Drosophila melanogaster: one gene and its partners. The gene in region 1 interacts genetically with each later gene. Each region holds a gene or a part of one and is shown on either strand. Other genes may lie near its edges.

What was found. A genetic interaction does not mean that the proteins touch.
Region 2: of awd (region 1) and sesB, changing one enhances a phenotype caused by changing the other (phenotypic enhancement), as found in Drosophila melanogaster (one study listed by BioGRID).
Region 3: of awd (region 1) and shi, changing one enhances a phenotype caused by changing the other (phenotypic enhancement), as found in Drosophila melanogaster (4 studies listed by BioGRID).

Annotation. Positions count from the first base shown.
Region 1 is NT_033777.3:31,744,670-31,747,666, reverse strand, and holds awd (abnormal wing discs), read left to right. Parts: upstream 1-1,589; 5' UTR 1,590-1,723; coding exon 1,724-1,897; intron 1,898-2,076; coding exon 2,077-2,409; 3' UTR 2,410-2,495; downstream 2,496-2,997. Other genes in the region: nero, read left to right, coding at 192-1,100; CG1896 (uncharacterized protein), read right to left, coding at 2,546-2,666, 2,729-2,997. UniProt on the Drosophila melanogaster protein: Major role in the synthesis of nucleoside triphosphates other than ATP. The ATP gamma phosphate is transferred to the NDP beta phosphate via a ping-pong mechanism, using a phosphorylated active-site intermediate.
Region 2 is NC_004354.4:10,780,855-10,788,806, forward strand, and holds sesB (stress-sensitive B), read right to left. Parts: upstream 6,054-7,952; 5' UTR 5,952-6,053; intron 3,605-5,951; exon of another isoform or gene 3,497-3,604; intron 2,036-3,496; 5' UTR 1,958-2,035; coding exon 1,923-1,957; intron 1,827-1,922; coding exon 1,526-1,826; intron 1,447-1,525; coding exon 1,319-1,446; intron 1,242-1,318; coding exon 767-1,241; 3' UTR 139-766; downstream 1-138.
Region 3 is NC_004354.4:15,890,305-15,895,252, reverse strand, and holds the start of shi (shibire), read right to left. Parts: upstream 3,054-4,948; 5' UTR 3,002-3,053; exon of another isoform or gene 2,672-3,001; intron 2,426-2,671; 5' UTR 2,249-2,425; coding exon 2,103-2,248; intron 561-2,102; coding exon 487-560; intron 419-486; coding exon 1-418. Other genes in the region: CG15916 (uncharacterized protein), read right to left, coding at 3,766-4,581. UniProt on the Drosophila melanogaster protein: Microtubule-associated force-producing protein which is involved in the production of microtubule bundles and which is able to bind and hydrolyze GTP. Implicated in endocytic protein sorting.

The sequences.
Region 1 (2,997 bases):
TTGCTAGTGCTGCACAATTTGTACTCTAAACGCGTTGGCAGCGCCGTTTCATCGACTCATAGTCCATCGATAGCCACGTCATATCGATTACTTGTAGTTTTGGTATTACCAAGTACTGAGTGTATGGCCACATTGCGACACCACACGCGGCCCGTTGCAGTTTTTTATTTATAAGTCCACACCGCATACAAATGGTTTCGCAGCAGCAAATCGAGGCCATTGGAGGCGTTCTGAACAACAAGGAACGCCCACTGAAAGAGCGCTTTCGAGCCCTCTTCACGCTGAAGAACATCGGCGGAGGAGCGGCCATCGAGGCGATCAGCAAAGCCTTTGACGATGATTCGGCCCTTCTCAAACATGAGCTGGCCTACTGCTTGGGTCAGATGCAGGACGCACAGGCGTTAGACATCCTCACCAAGGTGCTAAAGGACACCACCCAGGAGCCGATGGTGCGCCACGAGGCTGCGGAGGCCATGGGCGCCATTGGTCATCCAGATGTGCTGCCAATTCTGGAGGAGTACAAACAAGATCCGGTAGTGGAGGTGGCCGAAACATGTGCCATTGCTCTGGACCGCGTCCGCTGGCTGCAGAGTGGCCAAAAGGTAGATGACAGCAACCCTTACGCCTCCGTTGATCCCTCACCGCCAACTGCGGGCGACAAGAGCGTCACCGAGCTGAAGGCCATCTATCTGGATGCCCAGCAGAGCCTGTTCGATCGATATAGGGCCATGTTCAGCCTGCGCAATCTGCGCACCGAAGAGAGTGTCTTGGCCATTGCCGAGGGACTTAAGGACTCTTCCGCCCTCTTCCGCCACGAGGTGGCCTTCGTACTGGGCCAGCTGCAAGAACCCTGCAGCATTCCCTTCCTTCAAGAGAATCTGGAGGATCGCCTGGAAAACGAAATGGTGCGTCACGAGTGTGCCGAGGCCCTTGGCGCCATCGCCACAGAGGACTGCATTCAGATCTTGAACCGCTACGCCGAGGACGACAAGCGCGTGGTCAAGGAGAGCTGCGTCATCGCCCTGGACATGTGCGAGTACGAGAACAGTCCGGAGTTCCAATATGCCGACGGCCTAGCCAAACTAGACGCGACCAAGTGATTTTCGCCGAACATTTGCATCTACCAGCTGTGTATATATTAGTCGTAAACTTGTATTGTTTTGTCACTTCTGTGATCACATGGACCTAATCTTATCGAGACATAAAAAGAAATTTGAACGTGACTTCCCTGTGGTTTTTGATTAACCTGCTGGATGGATGAATCAACTGGTGGGAATGCTGATGCTAATGAGTGCCTAGTAACTATCCTAGTTTGACGGGCATTTTATCATCAACTGTGGGCAACTCTTTGTTTTTTTTTAAATGTTTTAATGTGTCTAGTAATTAAAAATAATACTATTGAGTTTTCGTTATTTTTGCTTTAAATTATTCGATGAAATGCATTCAGAATACATTCTGAAATTCAAAGTACAAGGCGACATGGCAGCCCCATTTGAGCGGTTATAAACTGAAAAAAATATGAATACTTTAGCAATGCACTCAAATTTCCGCTTTGGAATTTAAATAACAAGTATTTTCCTATCCTTTAAATCGCCCAACAAAAACAAAAACTCAAGAACGCGGCTGGCTGCCCAGTGTGACCACTTGACGATTTCCCACAATTCACCTTGCCGGCATTTCGTATTCGGGATTTTTTTGCAACGGCGAACACATGAAGCTCCTGATGCTCGGCACAATTTTGGCATTCTTTTCTGTAATCTCGGCGACAATGGCGGCTAACAAGGAGAGGACTTTCATCATGGTCAAGCCCGATGGCGTCCAGCGCGGGCTCGTCGGCAAGATCATCGAGCGCTTCGAGCAGAAGGGCTTCAAGCTGGTCGCCCTGAAGTTCACCTGGGTAAGCGGATAATTGAATTAGGAAGAAATCAATAGATATAAATACGTGGAAACGGGTTGCCCCACGCGGGGTTGCCATCGGACCTAACCTCAAAGGCTGGGTGCAGGCGTCATCGCGGAATGACATGTGTTTAGAGGTCAGAACTGCAATTAACTGATAACGAACCGTTTTGTAACCAGGCCTCCAAGGAGCTGCTGGAGAAGCACTACGCTGATCTGTCCGCCCGCCCCTTCTTCCCCGGACTCGTGAACTACATGAACTCCGGCCCCGTGGTGCCCATGGTGTGGGAGGGTCTGAATGTGGTCAAGACCGGTCGCCAGATGCTCGGCGCCACCAACCCCGCCGACTCGCTGCCCGGCACCATCCGCGGTGACTTCTGCATTCAGGTCGGACGCAACATCATCCACGGCTCCGATGCCGTCGAGTCTGCCGAGAAGGAGATCGCCCTGTGGTTCAACGAAAAGGAGCTGGTCACCTGGACCCCGGCCGCCAAGGACTGGATCTACGAATAGACGGCTACTTTAACTGTCTGCCCTCGTCTAAGCTGAATACAGATTGATTCTTCTAAAGAAATAAAATTCCACAATAATTACTATATAATCTTGCTTCTTTATAAGGAGTGTGAGCTTTGGAAAGGTTTCTATGATATTAAGTTAAGGATAGTCGATAGCCTATCCACTGAGCTGTAGGCTTTGTTGGCGGTAGCACCCATCCTCTGGGTATAGAGGAGCCTCTTCCACAGTAGCTTATGTAAGAATCCCATGTGGAGCTGGAAAAAGCGATGCAATTAAAAGGGAGCTCCCGCCGGACAATGCATTTCCCTAGACATACCGAATTTCAAGAAATTTCCCCTTATTTAATTTGGGAGTTGGCAAGGATCGGCCGAAGAACACAGCCTTCCATTGAGATTCAAGTGAAGCCACCTTCTTGGACTCCTTGACATGGCCAGCTTGAGTCTCTTCTTGGACTCTGCGCCAAACAAGACGCATGTGGGTCAGTTTTTGGCAAAGGGCGGCTCTGTCTCCTCCACGAGACTCGCAAAGTTTCTCCAGAAGATCAAAGGTCTCCAAAATGGAGGCAGCATCGCGTTGTTTTCGCAG
Region 2 (7,952 bases), on another chromosome or scaffold:
AAGTATGCTAATATAATTTTTGAATTACAAATACATATGTACTTTCATTGCAATAATTGGGTTCAAGTCGAAATATGAAAGATCGATATACATACATACATATGTACGTGCGCAGAAAGAAAAACACAACATTGTACTATTTTTATCAATTTTTATATATTTTTAAACCAACCGAAGTTGAGTTTGTTTGTTGGTTTGTCGTTTCGGAGGCGAAAGAATCTACAGGTCTTCGGTTCGATTCTTTGCATCCGATCGATAACACTGATTTGGCTGGGGAGATGTGGGACGACCCAGCAACATGACTGGATCTATAGTATATAGCCTAACCCAAACTTAACAATACTAATCGATATCGTCGCTATGTTCGTTCGTCTTTCAGTGTAGTGGGTCTAGTCTCATGTGCTGAGTCGCATCCTCTCTCTGCCCCGAGCATTGCTGTTTGCTGTAGTATTGTTGTTCTATTGACGCTGGCCATCGTTCCGTAAATTAGTTCCCAGTTTTTATAAATAATATAATTTCATAATTATATCGGGGTGAGGAAGGAAGGGTTCTTGCTGTTATTGCTTGCCGTTGTTCGTGGTAAGAGGTGTTGGTTGCAGATCAAACTTAGCTTATGCCTTTGCTGTTGCTATTGCTGTTGTTTTAGCTTTTCTCATTCAGTTATCTAACATAATTAGCTGGTAGTGTTTAGTTTTACTTCTTTTGTTTTGTTTTGTTGTTGTATGTTGTTGTATTTTGCTTGTTTTGAATAATTTAATAATTTAATTTACAAGACCTTCTTGATCTCATCGTACAACACAAGCACGAAAGCGCCACCAGTTCCTCTGAGAATGTTGGAGAAGGCGCCCTTGAAGAAGGCACCGGTGCCCTCCTGCTTGGCGATGGTGGCCCAGCAGTGCAGTGTGTTCTTGTAGATGACCTCGGTGGCCTTGCGACCAGACTGCATCATCATGCGACGACGCACGGTATCGAAGGGATAGGACACGATGCCAGCGACGGTTGTCACAACCTGGGCGATGGCCCAGCTGATGTAGATGGGTGTGTTCTTGGGGTCGGGCAGCATACCGCGAGCGGTATCGTAGAAGCCGAAGTAGGCGGCACGGTAGATGATGATGCCCTGCACGGACACTCCGAAACCACGGTACAATCCAACGATGCCGTCGCTCTTGAAGATCTTGGTCAAGCAGTTGCCCAGACCGGTGAATTCACGCTGACCACCCTTGCCAGTATCAGCAGCCAAGCTGTAAATTCGTAGCGAAAGCATTACGTTAGTTTATTGGACATTTTTTTTTTGTTTTTCGCAAATATACCAACATACCGAGTACGGGCAAAGTCCAAGGGGTAGACAAAGCACAGAGAGGTAGCACCAGCGGCACCACCGGAGGCCAAGTTGCCGGCGAAGTAGCGCCAGAACTGGGTGTTCTTGTCCACGCCACCCAGGAAGACCTAAGTTACACACATAATAGCAACCGGGGCGTTAGTGTTTTCCGCTCGCATTGCTAACATGCAGACTGCAAAGTCTCACCTGCTTGTACTTGTCCTTGAAGGCAAAGTTCAGAGCCTGGGTTGGGAAGTATCTGATGACGTTGGCCAAGTTGCCGCGCCAGAAGGACGAGAATCCCTGCTCCTTTGGAATGCGGATAAAGCAATCAACCATGCCCTTGTACTGCTTGTCGGGGCTGATTTGTTTCGAGATGTGCTGAACCTGCAGGAGCAGTTTCACACGCTCAATGGGGGCGACGGCAGTCTTGGAGACAGCTGCGGAGATGCCTCCGGCAGCGAAATCCTTGACGAATCCAACAGCATCGAAATCCTTGCCCATTTTGCTGTAAACACATCGTGCAATTGGCCAAAACTCTGATTAATCTCGACAGTTCCGTCATCGCTGATGGTGATACTTGGTGATACCGATGATGATATACCTTTGTGATGTTATGGATGCTGATATATTCCCCATGGCATGCGGGTGATGGTGCGTTGCATAATGGTTACGATATACGTTTACGGTATTTTTGTATAGTGGATGTACGATTCACTTTGTTTACACGGGTGCAAAAAAAGGCACAATAGAAGAATAGCCCAAAGCCAAATGAAAATGTGAAAATTTTCAATGTATTAAATTATAAACCGAAACCGAAAAACATGCACTTTTTTTTTATTTTTTTGAACAGTTATAAACCGAAACCGAAAAACATGCACTTTTTTTTTTGAACAGCACTACAAATGGTTACAAAACATTTTTGCGGGTGAAGTAAAAAGGTTTTAGCGACAAATGAAACAAATAAAAACATGCACAGTTAGTATAAATGGCAACTTAAACTTAATGCTAAAGGGGGTTAATATTGAATGGTTTATGGAAACATCAGCGTTTTGGTTACAATTATTTGTTGTTTGTGTTAGTATGCGTGTTGGCAGTTGCCGGTAAAACTGGTTTTGTGCAAAAAAGGTGAAAAGTTTTATTGGCCGGCTGGTTGCCACGTGGTGGTTTAAATCGATATAAAATAAGTACTGTTGGAAAATTAAGTTCTAACCAGTTAGCTTTGAAAACTAAGTAAAATACATGGCATTACGTGGCATACATAAATACATAAGTGCTTATCTAATTTATGTTATCTAGAGAATATGACATAAATCAATTGCAGTTCTAGTTGGATAGAGCGGCAGTCTACTGGTTTTCATTGAGTAAAGATTGGGGGATTGCATAATTGCCACACCACACAAAAAAAAAGAAAAGAATTGAATTGAAAAAGTTCAATGGAAAAAGCCAATATATATGGGCATTTGAGTGGGTGTGAGCAAGATGGCTATAGAGGCCACGGTTTTTTTTTTTGGCAGTTGGCATTCGCCATTGAAGCGCGTTTTGTTAATTTTAGACTTTCAAGAGCAGCCGCCGCTCTGCGTTAGCCGTGTGGTTTAAATTATATTTTAGCGAAATTAAATCAGCATTTCATTGACAAGGGTTTTATGTAACACACTTGGCAAAGAGAACTGTGCTTTGCCATTGTTTCGTTTCTCTTCTGTTCTCTTTCTTTGAAATAACAACCGTTATCTAATCGTGTTAGACTTTTGATTGGCTGGAAAGAGAGTGAAGCTTTTTCTTCGGCCACAGCCACAGAGAGCCGAGAGCTAAAAGGCTCGTGATGTAATAGCCTCAGCTGGAAAAATTCTACAGTTGCACGTGGAAAGCTTCCACCGAAGGCTGAGCAGTCGTAGTAGTATCCACAATCCAGTGTTAAGTTTATTCTTAATTCATTGTTATTGATTGCATAAGACCACCACCACACACCAGAAAAAAAATTGTTCAATGAATGATTCAAGTTCAACTCTTTTGTTGTTTTACATAACCAGGCAGATTTTCTTTCAATGCTCAGGTTGGATTTGATTTAAAAAAAAAAAATAATAATAAAAGCATTAGGAACCACACGCGTATTTTGTTAAATGGGCTATGGCTCAATTCGATTCGATAATTGATATCCAATTTGTTTGCCATACGTACAATTTGTATTTGTGTTTCTATATCACAGCACAAAACCGAAAAAAATTTATCCTTATTCCTCGGAAGTCAGAAGTCTGAACCGGACGGCAACTGAATTGCTTGTGAAAGTTCCTTTCGCCGAAATCTGCCAGCTAGCCTGCTCTGCCTACGTCGGCGTCGCAGTCGCCGCCATCGTCAAGTTCAGCAACAGATGAGCGTGAGCGAGAGAGGGGGAGAGCGTTCTCTCTCTATATGCATATGCAGAGTATGCGAAATTCGGAGAGAGCCGAAAAAAAACTAGCGGTTGGCAACAGCACGTGTGCGAGCGAGAGAGGGCGAGAGATCGCCGCTTATCAGTGCTGAGAATTCAAGAATTCAATGTCGCCATTCGTTGCATAAGAGGAAGTATTGTACCACACACTTGTACTCATTAGAAAACACTTTTTGTTTCGTTTTGGCCATGACCAAAAATGCATATATGGCCAATTGTTTTTCATTTACCCCTTTCGAGGTTTTCGACGGCGCTTTCTAAACGCTTGCCAAAATGAATGTACGCACAACATTTACATTTGGCAAATAGCCGACAAGTCAGCTGCGAAGCAGACGGATAGTCCCGTTTAGCTAGTTGTTAGCTAGATTTCTAGAAGATTGAATAGTGTACTTCTATTACACCCAAATACATGTCTTCCTTATTCAACAAAATTGGGGTATCTTTGATATTCAGTTTTAAGAACTACTTGGACTGGCTTAGAAAACTTCAATATACAGCAGTGAACAATTTATTCAAATACAAAAACCAAAACTATTATCAATTTTTATAAAAATAAAAGTTGAAAAGAGTTGAAAGGTTTTATTAATTGTTTGTAGCTATTTAATTGCTAAGCTATTAATAACATTTGGCTTTATTTCTAAAGATAGGGTTGGCAGCACTGCTAGCATGTGACTTTGCTTTCTGACGTCCACCTGCCGCTCTCTCCCTCTCTCTCACGCTTCGTCTCTTTCACGCAGGCGGAAGAGGGGCGGCGCTCGAAAAAAAATGCGTGAAGCGATTAGATAAACACTTCTGCTAATACAGTTAATTTATATAACTGTCTACGACACTTTTTCAAGGTCCCGTTATCACAAAAATTACATAAAAAATAAAAGAGAGCTAGTTGCCCATCAAAAAAGAGAGCGTAAAAAATGCAGTTGCAAAGTTACTGCAAAAATGCTTAATTGCCAAAATTAAACGGCAGCGAAGTTATAATTTTTATGGCTCAGTGTGCGATGAATCGGGGTTTTAGGACAGGGCGTGGATCGGCTTGAAAATCACACTGAAAATTTCCGCCGACTGGGCGAGAATTGGAAATGTGATTCGCCAGGGATATGTAATAATAAACACTAATCTCAACCAAGTGCAAAATCGCACTAAAAGGCCACACAAAGGGCTACAATAAACAATAAATCACATGAATACTATACGTACATTAACGATTGACGTCAGAAAGGGTTTAAGGGGTATGGGAATGGAATAATAATAGAAGAAATGAGAACACTGGGGAAACCCGTTTTTTTCGCATGAATTTTTATCTTTAATAAAAGAAAGCAGGTCAGAAAAGAAAGGGAGGCAACCAAAGAGAAATAGTTACATTACTCTTAAGAAATAAAACCAACTCTCTCTCTCTTCTTCACACACACACACCCGATAAGTACTTGCACGCGCAGCTGGTGTCTGGCATGGGAGTGAGCGAGAGGGCGTTAGTGGCACATGGAATTTATTCGCAACTGTGTGTTCATACACACTCATGTGCGACTGGGCGGTAGAACAATCAATTGCCACGCGTTTTACTATAGAATAGCCTGCATTTGGTGTATATAATAATATATTTGTGCAAATGCAGGCCAATTTGATTCTAGAGAAGTGCAATTCTCTTTGAAATATAATCGCAATTCATGTGCAACATTTTTTCGTACAGACGAGCCGGCCTGCCAACTCGTTGCTATTGCATAAGTTGGCAGTTCCAGCGTGGTTGCAAATTGGAAGGAAATAGATGGGAAAAAGATCCAGCGTGGCTTCTTCCATTTTCTTTCTGGGTATTCTAAATGAACTTTGGATTGGGGGTATAAAATACCGAAAAGTTTGCTAATACGCCCAATTTATTACGTGTTTAATTGATGGCAAACACAATTTCGGCACAATTATTTTTCGCAAGGGTTATGTAAGCACTTTTCGGGTATTTTCAAGTCCCATTTCGGGATTTCTTTTCGATGCAGTTAAACCGGAACTGCTTGTCGAACATACAAAAAAAAACGTTAGTTTAAACCAACACCGACACAATAAAAAAATTAGCACATTACATAACTACAGAATCTAGCGCAAGGTGACGTGAATTAATGGGTAAAAAAAAATCAATGGCAGGTACGGGGCACACCGTCTCTTTTCTTGTTAAGCAAAAGAGCCTCGCAAATGTAATAGATATAGAAAATAGCACAATACCTTCAGTTGATAACTTCTCACAAAAGTCACAGAATAAAAACTTCTTTTGCAGAATCAGACGAAGCCGCGTGCTCACTTGGCGAATGAAATTCGTAAAGTGGTGGGGGTCTCGAGGGCCCAGTGACTTGGGGATGAAAGCTGCAAAAATACCGCATATCGATAGTTGCTTTAACTGGTATTTATTCGGCGATCTATCGATATTCAGCTAGATTTCGGTTTTTATTCGTGATATTTTTGTCGGTAACTTTTGCTAGTATAAATAAATATGGCTATTTTTGATGTAATTAAAACCAGTATATTACGTTTTATTATAAAATTAAGGCAAGCGGGGATTGAAGCATCAATATCGATATTTTTTAATACCTTAAAAATATTTTTACATCGACTTTCCCATTATGTTATATTATTTTATATTATATATTATATTATTGCGAGTTCTGAATTACACAAAAGTTAAAGACTATTTTATGTTTTAATAATGGATTCATTACAATTAATCTGCACGCTTCTTTGGGAAATTAACAACGACCTGTACGACCTCCTTTTGCCAAACTATGATAAAAACTAGTTTGAATGTATTGCATTTAACGCGGTTTTTTAATTGCTCTTTTTTTTACAAAAACAAAAGTTTTCTTTTTATATTAAATCAAAGGTTTGTCCAAAATTGGAATATCTCATACCTCGTTGAAATCGTTCCAAATTCCTCATCGAACTGTATTTAAGTCTGGCAACTTTAATTTTTGGCCATTTTTTGCAAATTTGGTTATCGAAAATGAGAAAATCGGTAATTTGTCGAATTTTGATGATGGTACCCCTAATGAAAAATTGCTTAAATTGGTCAAAAAAATTATTCCTGAAACTCGGTTTGAAAGTGTTACAGATTGTTAGCAATGTTAATAAGCAACACAAAACAGTCATCGTTTTAGCTGAGCCACCTTTTTTGGCCAAGTTATTCTGAAAAATGTTTTTCGAAAATATCATATTCTTAATTTTAAAACGTTGTTGAAAAGGATAATCGCAAAACTTGATTCAAAATGCACTTCTTATATACGAAAAATCATTTATTGAGTAAATTTCTTTTCGATTTGTTTTTCACATGTTCACAAAATTGTATTTGAGTTAGTTGTATATCTGGTTTTCTAATATTTTCCTTGGCCTTGGGATACAATTTAGTAAGCTTTTGTGTCTTTTTATTTGCTGTATGTGGGTCTTGTATACGGTAATTTCGTATTGAGCGCTAGCAATATTAACATTTAGTTACACCGAAATGGGGAAAACATCTTACGCAGATTAGTATGTTATGTATACACCTATGTATATCTCTAGTTTTTGAATCAGCACCCTGGGACAGGCCAGAATACTAGGAGTTTTGGGCGTGCTGAGGGGTATGGTAATCAAATGAAGAACCCTTTCTTTTGAATTTCGTTGGTTGGACAGAGGGGTTAATTTAAAGGCAATGGTAAAGGTAAAAGATAAAGGCAAACAAATGCAAAGTACTGGCTAGTAAATACTGGGGCCTCTAAACTATGACGACACATCTAGACATCGAGTCCTATGTCCTTTACGTGGTTATCTAGATTACTTTCGGGTACATATTCCATGGCAGATACAAAACATACACAGAGTGGATATTTGATATATGTATAGTATATTGGTTATCGTGTACCGATTGTGTTAGCGTTTTGCTTGTGGTTAAAAGACAGTTATACAATGTAATTGGGAATATAGTTTTGTTTTCATCCTATTTGTGTGATTTATTCGTTCGCTTTTTTTTTGTTTATTTTTTTTTTTTGTGGTTTGTTTTTGTTTTTATTTAATTTTTTCTTGTATAGGAAACAACAAAAATGGACGCAAAATGATTGTTATAGTAGTATTCATGTTTACCCATCTTGCTTTTACGTTTAGTTAACTATATAGGAATATGCAAAACGTACACTTAATATATTTTTTTTGGTTTTGTTTTACGATTTTGTTACTATGTTCCTTATCGATCTGATACTA
Region 3 (4,948 bases), on another chromosome or scaffold:
TCGCGTGCATCGGTGCCCTCGTCCATCAGATCCAGCTTGGTTATAACGCCAATGGTTCGCACACCCTGTGGATCCACCTCCTTGGCCAGCTTGAGGGCATCCGAATTGGCCAGATCCGTATTGGCCGGGGTCACAGCCAAAATTAAACAAGTCTCTTTGCGAATAAATTGGAATATCATCTGCTTAATTTGCTGCTCAATATCCACCGGTTGATCGCCAATGGCCACCTTTGTCAGGCCTGGCAAATCGATCAGGGTTAAATTGAGTACGTGCGGCGAGTAGACGCGCAAATTAATTGGAATGTTTGAAATGCCTTTGTTACTACCGGTCACACGATCCGTTTCATCTTCGATTTCTTTTCTGATCTCATCGAAGCTGGAAAACTTCTTGCCTTTAATGTGAAGGAACTCGCCATATTCTGCAATAAATATCAATGTTAGCATTAGAAGATAGCTTCTCTTTAATCATATCAAATGCTCAACTTACCGGTAACTCCATTGATCAGTTGCAAGATTAGTGGTCTCCGAGTTACGATACCAGAGCCGCGCGGCAAGAAATCTCTGTAAAATGGGGAAAACGTTTTGTATTTAATAATGGAATCATAGAAGTCTTTGGTTTTTGGATTGTGGAGCCTGTTCATCTAACAATATTACTACTGGGCTTAAGAAGTATGTAGAAAGCATTAAGCCTAGTATCAAAACATTTTGAAATTGCATCGAATAATGAGTATTTGAGTTGCCAATACTAAAAACTTAATGGAAATTTAACTTATGACTTGCAGCTAGTGTTTAAATTTCCAAGTGAGAACTTCAGGACTCCAAAAGTGTTGGGCATTGTTTAATACCACTGAGTACTTAAAGTAAAGCTATTTGTTAGCTAGGCTAATAAATCAAATGGTAAATGGGTCATTTTGAACACTCTGGTCACCTACATCCTGTTCGCACTGACCAGAGTTAGAAGAAGCCTTCATTTTCCATTGACATTAAGACTTTGGCCTGCCGTGGCCGTGGGTCTCGCTGCCTCTCTCGCTTCCTCCGATGGCTCAGTGGTGTCAGGTGGGCGGGGGGCGGGGTAACCACCCTAATTGACACACATACATACATTCATACATACATATAAAGCACGGCGCATGCGAAATCTAACTGGACTATTTTGAACATAGTGGACTTATGTAAGCACAAACTTTACATGGCTCAATGCAGTTTGTAAATACATGAATGGGCATATTGATTAATGTTCTTTTTCAGCGCACCCCCCCCCCCCCTTATTTGCAAGCTATGAAAAATAAATAAATCGACTCTAAAGGAGGTCAAACTTTTACAAATATATTCGAAAGTAAACATATAGAATGTGAGTTACTCTACTCAATCGTTGGGCAAGAGTGGGGAAAAACTTAAATCGCCGACACACTATCATTTTGGCCTTATCTGCATTTTTTTGGGGCGTAAGCCATTGTTTTCTTTATATGTTTGTATTTAGAGTGGACACTAACAAAGAAAAATGAGAGACAGCGCAGGCTTATAGATACAAACACACAAGAAATCGCATTGATACATACAATTTAGATTTCTGTTTAACAAAATTCAAAATACGTATACGTAGATGTTCTACAATTCGTTTTGTGAATATAGTTTGCAGAGCTGCGGGGCTTTTGGATTTTCAACAGCTTTGTGCAGGTGAAAGATAAAATTCTTATTATCATAATTAAGTTAAGACCACTGATATGGTTTGGTCATTATGAGCAAGTACACTTGTTTCGTAGACACCAATTATTGATTGTTAATAAACAACCAAAAAAAAAAAAAATAATAATAATGCCTGAAAGCGAGTGCTATCAGCGATTACTCATAGTTTTTCAGTAACATTTAATTGGGCATTCCACGAAACGCAGACATAATAGAAAGAATAGCGCTACTTTTCGCTGAGCACTGGCGTGCAGAAAAATCGATTCGCTGCATGCCAAAGAGGGGTCTCTTCAGGTCCATTATCAATCACAATATATGTAGGCTAGATATTTGGGGTGCTGATAGGGTGATATGGTATGATAGTATGATCCCATATGAGAGGATAATATGCTGATAAGGCGTGCGGGGGATACTCACTTGCCCACAAAGTTCTCCAAAACGGAACTCTTGCCAGCTGACTGGCCACCGACCACCGCGATCTGCGGCAGATCCAGTTGCATGTGGACGCCGAGCGATGTGAACGCATCTTGCAGCTTGTTAACAATTGTAATTAAACTATCCATTGCGGCGAGGTCCGATTTCCCTCACAATTAGATTAGATTAGATATCAGATCAGATCAGATCGAACTGCGATCCCAACTCGTCCGGATGTTTGTGTTTTTACTGCTCAGCTCCCGGGTCTTTTTTTTTTCTATGCTGTTTCCTTTAATCGCTGGCTTTACTTCACTGCACACACTCCTCTGCAAAATACAATTGCTGCATTATAAATACTTTCATGCGTTCCATCACTTTTCTTTTCGTTTGTATAGATAACACAAAAAAAAAATTGACAAAATTTGTGTGCGGCGGTGGGGGTGGTGGTTAATAACAAATATGCGTAAATCGTGGGGGAATGGGGAAAATTGCAAACAGAAATCGTTATTGGAGAGCACTCATGAGTTACTCATTCTCCCACACGATTAACCAACCCGATATATTGTATGTACCACCACAATAACCTTTCTTGCTTCTTCGGATTATAATGGCGATGTAGCGAAACTTATTGGAATCGGAATTGGAATCGCGAAGAAGGTAAAGACGGGTATGATTGTTGGGTTTTGCGAGCAAAAGTGTTTATCGACATTTACACGAAAATAATTTGTATATATACTCCCAAACGAATTTATCATCGACTTTTCCAATTTGTCACTTATTTCTCAGGCGTAACTGTGTTGTGTTAGTGTAGATGTCATGTTTATCGCCACAAAGAGCGCACTGCGATTTGGGCTTTGGCTTGGTCTTTTAAACAAATATTCTTCTTATTGTGCAAAACTGACAACTATCACCACACTCCGCTTCCAAATCGTTTCAATGGATTTTTTCGACTAAAACTAGAGATGCAAGAAAGTAATCAATCTGTACCCGATAAGCTGGTCTGGTCTGATTTTTTTTGGTATAATTGATAGGGCTGGGTGAATCACTCGCGATACATCGATATATCGAATAGTTTCCGTATGCCGAAGCTAAGTGTTGGTTTCGATAACAAGTCCAGTGCTTTATCCGACATCGATATCAATTTAAGCGCAAGGTCGCCTACTATCGCAACTATCAAAAACAGCTGATTTGATTACATTAACTTACAAGTAATTATCTATCTATTTATTAAATTAAATGCACATCTACAATATGCATATCCTGAAGGGAATATATAACCAATACTAAAAGCTTATAAAACTATTCATTTTATGCGCATGTCCGGCTTTTCTGCGTTTTTGCTTTATATCGATAACAGATACAGATGCAGTGCGCAAGCTTTAAAAGCATAATAACATAATCGAGTATGGTAATGATTTGACCTTTGACATTCAATTTTAAGCCGTTAAAGCTTTTTTTTAGAAACGCAATCGATACTCTATTTTAAAACCACTCAACATGATGAACTAGTTGGGATAAAAGTAGCCAACATTTCAAACTTATTGGAAAATGATTAAACGTTTACAGACCCTACCCCTATTTTCAACTTTAGAACCCAATTTACATTGGATTGAATAACACTTTAATAATTAACATTATGTACATAAGTCGAGGGATTTAACAAACGTTAGGTTTTCGCAATATTTTGTCTATGATTAACCCAGGCATCTTTGGACTTGCGCATCTTGCCGAGAATCTTGTCCATAACTAAGCTATGGTTAAAACTGAGGAAATCCTGTCGCATCTCCGGCCATTCCTCATCCGCAGCCGTCTGACAACTCTGTGCGTCGCTTTCTTCAACTTCCGCATTTGAACTAGAGTAACTGTGCTGAAGATCGATTTTGGACAGAACCTCGTGGACCTGATGGAGACCAGTGCTCGTTTTGTCCCGGACAAACTTGATCTTTGGCACTTCGCCCATCAGATGGAGCTGCGATAGCTCGTGCTGCAGTTTGCCGCTCATGCGATTCAATGTGTTCTCGAGCTCTTGGTTCTCCCCGCCATCCTTGCCCATCCAATAGACATTGATGCGGGAGAAGTCGCTGGTGATCTTGACATAGGAAATCTGCACTCCGTGTCCCACGATGGAATCGGCAACTGCGCCGGTGGCCAGAATATCAGTGATGTTCGTCATGAACAACTTGTTCAGAACAGACATGCGTCGATTGTTGTGGCTGCAAGTTGTCTTCGAGTGTGGGGTTCCAAACTTTAAGGCGTGCAGCGACTTTTGATTGCCTGATGTTCCTGCATCGGGCGATGGATACCAATGGCTTTTGCTGCCTTTAAGCCGATTTCCAAACAACGAGCCAAATATTTTTCCCTGTCGCGTTACGTTGTCTTTGCTCGACCTTTTGGAGCTCTTGTTTCGCGAAAGTGCCAATTGGCAGGCGTTGTTAAGAACGGAGTGTCCATTTTGTAGCCTTAAAACACGAATGCTTAACATTTAGTCTAGTTGCCTTAAATATATTTGCTAGCTTAGATAAAATAGAATGCAATACAAAATATAATGTGGAATAACATGAGTGAGACCAGCCACTTGCGTTTTTAAAATGCGTTAGAGATGGACGATAATTTCGAGCACTCTGGACCACTTTAATTTGGGGGATAGCTTATTTGCACTTCATTTAACTTCATATCTAAGAATTCACAGAATAAAAGTTGATTTTCGACAGTTGCTTGCAGAGTAACATGCCATATAACAGGCAAGTGTTTAAATAACCAAGTTTGCTCATTTTTATTTAATAATTTAAATTGCATTTTAGTTGTTGTCTTTTCCGTGTTTCAGATTATAAAAATATTAACATATATTC